2 linked regions of the Daphnia pulex genome follow. The protein of the gene in region 1 interacts with the protein of each later gene in a pairwise test. Links are inferred from orthologs where the notes say so. Each region holds a gene or a part of one and is shown in the gene's direction. Other genes may lie near its edges.

What was found. The genes of interacting proteins can lie anywhere in the genome.
Region 2: the proteins of ufm1-specific protease 1-like (region 1) and ubiquitin-fold modifier 1 interact in binary tests that used the Drosophila melanogaster proteins (3 or more experiments, as listed by UniProt). The link is inferred for Daphnia pulex from reciprocal best matches to the Drosophila melanogaster genes Ufsp1 and Ufm1.

What each region holds. Positions count from the first base shown.
Region 1 is NC_060025.1:7,120,266-7,123,280, reverse strand, and holds ufm1-specific protease 1-like, read left to right. Parts: upstream 1-1,285; 5' UTR 1,286-1,411; coding exon 1,412-1,537; intron 1,538-1,619; coding exon 1,620-1,799; intron 1,800-1,889; coding exon 1,890-2,105; intron 2,106-2,140; exon of another isoform or gene 2,141-2,207; coding exon 2,208-2,357; 3' UTR 2,358-2,433; downstream 2,434-3,015. Other genes in the region: longitudinals lacking protein, isoforms F/I/K/T-like, read left to right, coding at 1-160, 517-785; uncharacterized protein LOC124203074, read right to left, coding at 2,521-2,738, 2,831-2,977. UniProt on the Drosophila melanogaster protein: Thiol protease which recognizes and hydrolyzes the peptide bond at the C-terminal Gly of UFM1, a ubiquitin-like modifier protein bound to a number of target proteins.
Region 2 is NC_060024.1:5,730,262-5,734,064, forward strand, and holds ubiquitin-fold modifier 1, read left to right. Parts: upstream 1-1,283; 5' UTR 1,284-1,391; coding exon 1,392-1,396; intron 1,397-1,459; coding exon 1,460-1,522; intron 1,523-2,891; coding exon 2,892-3,022; intron 3,023-3,149; coding exon 3,150-3,220; 3' UTR 3,221-3,285; downstream 3,286-3,803. Other genes in the region: coronin-7-like, read right to left, coding at 3,749-3,757. UniProt on the Drosophila melanogaster protein: Ubiquitin-like modifier which can be covalently attached via an isopeptide bond to substrate proteins as a monomer or a lysine-linked polymer.

The sequences.
Region 1 (3,015 bases):
CAAAATTCAAGTATTAATTCTGGCCAAGAGCTGGAGGACGACGAACTAGATTTATTTCAGCATTGCGGAGTCAACAATGTCAATAACCATCATAACAATCACCTGCACCATCCTGGACCATCTCGGCTGTCTGCAGAAGAACTTCATTCATCTGGTCAAGGTAAATTCCGAAACAAATTAGTAAACTTATTTTCTTTAGAAAGAGGACAGAAAAGGTAGCGCAAAATTATGACAGTCATTATGTGTCACACCCATATGGGAACTGGAATTAGCCGACCAATTCAATGTGGTGTTACGGCAAAATTTAAATGCCCACTCTGTGGGAAACGTTCTCGGCTTAAGCATTACCTGGTCGAACACATTTCCGGAACGCTAGATCATTGTCGTCGTTTTCCCTTCTATATTTCCCACCAACCAGGGGGTGGGAGGCGGGCTCAAAATTTGAAATGGGTTGACACCAATTAGTATTTGCGGTTACAACTTACTTTGTTTCTAACCTGTTCTGCTATTTTCTAGATTTACTGGTCGAACACATGGCCTGGGGGTCGGTCCACAACGGGTCAGTCGATAATCACCATCTTCATCATCACGATCCCGATCCTGGACCTGGTCGTCATTCGTGTCCTAGATGCGGCCGAACGTACAAATGGAAACAGACTTTATTGCGGCATGTGAAATACGAATGTGGCGTGGAACCTCAGTTTATCTGTCCAATCTGTCGGGCACCCTTTCATCACCGGAATGTTCTGCAGAGACACATGAATTTGCACAGTAGACCCAAGTGATGCTGTAACTAAAATTAGGAGCTTACTAAACTACTTCTGTTCTGAGAAGCCACCAAATGTTATCACTGAGAAATATGTCAACTAAGATTTGCCATGTGTAGCCAAATAAAGTACATTTGTTACCATTCTCAATTCGAGAGTTATTTTATATCGTTTTTATCTAATTTATTGTGTACAACAGGTTTATTTTTGTTCACTCTAGCGAATTAGAAACTTACCAAACTATTTCGAGTTCAACACTTCCAAAGAAAATCAAGTTCTTTGAATATATTTGCTGCGTCATTATTTTTATTTAACAGCGGATTTGTATGCGTATGCTGTGTGCACTTATGTATATCAGATGAGCGCATATTGTTGAGTTTTCAGTTTCTATTTGGAAGTTATTTTTTGTGTGCTGCACGGACTTTCTCTTTCGTGTATAAAGTTATAGGTTCATGGGTTCATTAACCAAACGTATCGGATTTTTGAACTAGAAACTATCGACGGTGTAGTTTATAGCAGACGAATTCGTTTGAGTTGTTTTCCTTCGTTTCACACACACAACCCCAACTGTTTGAATCGAACGTAAAGTGAATACGTAATTTCCTCACGTTTTGGCAAGCTTATCAAATCGAGTTTTCTCAGAAATGAATTTGCTGTCGAACGTACATTTAGGATTGAGCGATCCAACCTCGAATCCCCAAAGGACGACCCACATCATCACGAACGATTATCAGTATTATCATTACAAATGCGATGGTTTTGATGATGTGGTGAGGCATCATCATATTATGCAGTGTGGGAGTAAACTCTTGAATTTTTCTTTGACCTCATTACATGATGTTACATACGCAGGGATGGGGTTGTGGATACAGAACTCTCCAGACCATTGCCTCCTACCTTTCACTCCAGCAGCAGCCAGGTAAAAAAGCTGGACAAGTTCCAAGTCTCAAGGAAATTCAAGAAACACTAGTTGCCATTGAAGATAAGAAGAAATCTTTTGTAGGATCAAGAGAATGGATTGGAAGTTTTGAAGTATGTTGGCACAATTCCACATTAATATATAATAATGTTTCAGATTTGAAATCTAATTTGAATTCCCTGACCATATTTTCTATTTCACAGGTGTGTTTAGTAATTGACAAGCTTTTTGATGTTCCCTGCAAAATTCTCCATTGTCCTTCTGGTGAAAATGCAATGACAGACATTTTTCCAAAGTTGGAAGAACACTTTGCCAAATCATCCGCCCGACCAATTATGATGGGCGGTGATCACGATGCTTCTTCTAAAGGAGTCCTCGGTACTTGTTGCGTCGACAATGACCACTGGCTGCTGGTTCTGGTGAGAGAAATAAATTTCTAAAAATGTCTTGTGTGTACATAGCTGAAATGTTTGTATTGTACTAGATCTGTTTTTTCTTTTTTCGGATGTGTGTCTATATAGGACCCTCATTATTACCACCAACGAGGACAACATCAAACATCTGCTGTCAAACTCCAGAAAGAAGGATACGTCAGATGGACACACACGAGTGAATTTGACAAGCAATCATTTTACAATATATGTCTCCCTCAATTCAACAGCAGCAGCTAGCGACGTATAATATATGTACAATATTATGACATTATTGTTATGGTATCCGGAAAAAAATATAATGTATGCGTGTAAATCATGCGTTAATTTTAGGTATCACTTTTTAAGGTAGATGCGAATAGTTAAGAAATAAAATAAGCTTTTAAAAAAAAACTAAATTGAGTTATTTGGGTGAAATGCTGAGCTCTTCAATCAGTCGCGTTACGAACAACATAAAGGCGGGTAAAAAGAGAAACGTAATCAAGATGGACGAGTCTCCGGGCCGACTTGCGGAAGAAGAAGAAGCGACAACTCGTTCAGGTGAAGATGCTCTTTTAGCCGTAGATGATGATGTTGCTTCCACCGGATCGTTCCAGATTTTGATGGCTTTCCACGTCCCGGCTGCCGACGACGAATGGAATAAGAGAAAGTGAAAAATGATAATATTTGGTTATTATATTATTCCGTAGCAATTGCGATGTCATCTCACTTACTTCCAAGTGATTTAGGACGAGGAGAGAGCGACTGAACAACTTCCACCCGTTGATTGTTGGTCGAGTCAGGTGGATGAACGTCGTACGCCCGTCCGTCTCTCTCCGCCGCCGCCGTCACGTTCGTACGTGTTCCATTTGACAGCGATTCTGTTCCGCAGAAGAAAAAAAGAAACAGAACGGATACA
Region 2 (3,803 bases), on another chromosome or scaffold:
GACCTAAGTTATACATTGTGTATATAATATCGAGCACCGGAAAGAATCGAATGTCGTGCTGCATGGGCCTATATAATATAGCGCAACTTTCATACACACATTTATAACGTCTCTTTTGTATATTTACATGCAGAGTGTTGATGCTGTGCTGGTGGATGTATCTAGCCTATATTTTTCTCGACATGAATAACCTAAACAACATCGTTGTTCAGCTTATGTGTACAGCATCCCTCGCCTTTTTTATGTATTCTTATTCTTGTCTCTTTTTCGACTTGATCCAAAGTGGCAAAGTGTCTTTTCTCGACTATAGGAAATCGGGTGCTGGGAGGGTGGCCCAGCACACATCCTTTTTGTTATAGGCTATACATATTCGTTTTAGCTTTTTAGATTTTATCCATTGAAAGAAACAAAAAACAAAGAAAGGCCAGCAGCAGCGGAAGTCCGTAATACGTAACACTCGACAGATGTATGTCTATGTACAAAGAGCCGAAAATATAATACGTAACAAACTGCATTTGAGCGGATTAAGTCGACATGAAAGATGGAAAATATCTAAGGAATAAAATATAAAAAACAAAAAAATGGAATTTAAATATATTTTATTTTTTGTTTGGGTTCCGATTTGCATGTCCTCTTATATTTTCCATGTTGGAATTATAAAAAGAAAAAAGTTTTTTTATTTTTTTCCCCAAATGCTGCTGCTGCCGCTGTAGGCCTTTTCTATATGTATGCATCAGCACTTAGACGGGCCACTCTCGGACGCGTAAATCCTTGGTTTAAGAGCACACACACATGCACACAGGAGCCAACATCTACAACGACATGCCGGGGCTCCTTTTGTACACACATCACAGCACACACTTTTATATATTCACAGCTAGCTGTGCTATATGCGGCACAAAAGTTTAATACAACGACCCTTTTTTCTTATACATCTAATACCGCGATGCTCTCGCACTATTTACCTTTTTTCTTCTGGGTTTTTCCGAGATTTATGGAAGGCTCAACTCTCTCTCTCTGGAGGAAAAATATAGTCGAGATTTAGAATCTTTTGCACCGAAAAAGTTGATTATTTGTCTTTTATATGCCCAGTTTTATTTTGTAACCGAATTGGTCTTCTTTCTACCCCCAGGCCAAAAGTAAATAAAAGTAATCTATTGAAACAATAGTTTTTTTATGCGTGTTGAAATCATTCAGATTTAACTGGATATATTTGAAAGGGATTTTCTAGAAATAATTGAAAGAGATTTGGGGGAAAATTGGAATTATAGAAATTTGGCAATGTCGTTTGACAACCTGTTTCTCGCCAACAGCTCACAGCTGTCAAGTTGACGACTGGTGTCGAAGAACATTTTCTCATTTTATTCTGTTTATAAATATATATACTCAAAATGAGGTAATCAAAATGGCAATTCTAATTTTATTTTTCAAATTTTTATTAACATTTTCTATTATGCAGCGGCAGCGGTAAAGTCACTTTCAAGATCACGTTGACGTCCGATCCGAAGCTCCCTTTCAAAGTGTAAGTTGCCACCGAAAACTTTTGGTTTAGCTCTCGTTTTGAAACAATATGCCGTCCGTCGGCGAAATGGTCGATCGTTGTCGGGTTTTCCTTGTGGACATTCTGCCACAAGCGGCCGTCAGTGTGTCATGGACTTTGGAAAACACAGAGAAGGCATTCAACTGGGCCAAGTACTGCCAGGACATGCACGATTCCCTGGCCAAATCAGGTCACATCCAAGAGCTGGAGGAGGAGCTGGTCAGGATCGGTGAAACAACGGGGAAGCACTCTGTCTTCCAACGTGCCAACCTGAGGATAGCCCCTCTGCTGCTGCTGGAAGAGTTCCTTCGCAACCCAGACATCACGGAAGAGTCAATGCTCTGGGTCATGAAGGCCATGAGCAATGTCTTCCCTCCAGAGAAGTTCCAGGCCATCTGCTCGAGTGCTGTAGAGAGGAAGTCCCTGTATGAGAGTGCCATCAGCTTGATCCAATCGGGGAAGGACAGCCAGACCGTTTCTGTGATGAAGGCCCTGATCATGAAGGAGGACTTGCTGCGAGATCTCAATCCTGTAATCCTGGAAGCCAAATTGGATCCGTTACTGAAATCCGTGCAGACGACGGAATTGCTGCTGACAGTCTTCAGTTTGACTTGCGAAGGTCGGACGCTCCCCGAGGTCAGACTGGGCCAGCTGATGATTCAAGCCATTGAAACTCGTGCCCGCAATTGGCTGGAAAATTGCGCCCCGGGTGGTCTAGGTGGTGGCCGCCCGTCTGCTACGATCAGCGCCCTGTTGGCCGTCCCGGTAGTGCTGAGCCGCAAGGTGTGCGAAATGAGCCCCGATTTCCTCCACTCTTGGCTGGACATACTGGGCCTGCTGGCCAGCCATTTGATTCCCGTCTATTACAGCCAGGACCACGTTTGGAGTTGGCCCGGAGATGATGACGACCATGGCGGAGTAGGCCAATCTTCCAGCGACAGCCGCTTTCGGGGTCTGTGGTTCTCGCTCGATCAATTGGTCCGTCACATGCAAAGCCTCTGCACTCCTCCTCCTCTTTGCATTGGGTTTAATGAGGATCACGTGACCTCGGAAGCTCGCCAGTTCCTCGATCGTCAGAAACAGTTGGCCGGCCTCTGCTCCATCTGGATGGAAGTGGAGCAGCGATTATCGATCAAGACCCCCAATTAAAAATAACGAATATTCACCGAACGACCTCCGAGCCATTCCGTCGTTCGCTCCTTTGTACAACCGAAACTTTTTTCTACTCCCTTTTTGTAACTAATGGTCATTAAAGTCAAAATAATAGTTTGAATACATCAGCTATTAAAATTTAAAATTTTTTTTTGTTTGGTCTATTAACCGGATGAATTATTTTATTTTATTTCTTTAGGCTGAGCGTTCCGGAAGCCACGCCTTTCACGGCCGTGCTCAAATTCTCGGCCGAAGAATTCAAAGTCGATCCGGCCACGTCGGCCATCATCACCGACGACGGAATTGGCATCAATCCACAACAAACTGCCGGTCAGTTTCGTGTGTGAAAAACATAACAATTTACGCCGATTGCCTTTTAACCTTTTTCTCTCCTTTTTTATTTTTATTTTATGGCCTTTTGGAAATAACATTTGATCCCTGGTCCACCCATTTAAAGGTAATGTCTTCCTCAAACACGGCTCGGAATTGAGGCTGATCCCTCGCGACCGCGTCGGTAATCGCATCTAAAAACTTAAACAAAAAAAAAATTAAACTAAAAGAAAAAATCTGAAATAAAAGTTTATCAAATTGTTTTTCCAATGATGTAATTTTTTTTTTCGTTTTATTATTTTTAATTTTTGCGCCCTTTTTTTGTTGTTTCGAAAGTTTTGAAGAAATAGAGGCAAAATATTGAGAAAAAGACATTGGCACGGATACAGACGAGATGGGGGGGAGGAAAACAAGCTATGACGTAATCGACGCACGAAGAAAGCTCAATTATCTGATGAGAGCAACGATCACAAAAACACTCAAAAACTGATTAAAGACGAAAATAAAGACGTCGAGAAAACAAATTAAAGAGTTTTGGGTTTAGGGACACAAAAGAAAAAAAAAATGGGAAAATTATTATTATGATTTTTAATTAATTTTACGTTTCCATTGGATATGATTATGACGCTGAAAGTCTAAGAAGAAGAAGAGAAGCCATTCAATTGTTTTTTTCCTTTTTTATTTCCGGTTGATCCCCGCAAGCCATCCAGCTGTTGGAATGGTTCGTTAATTATCCTATTGAAAAATGGAGAGAAAATAATGAAAAAAGATGAAAAGAAAT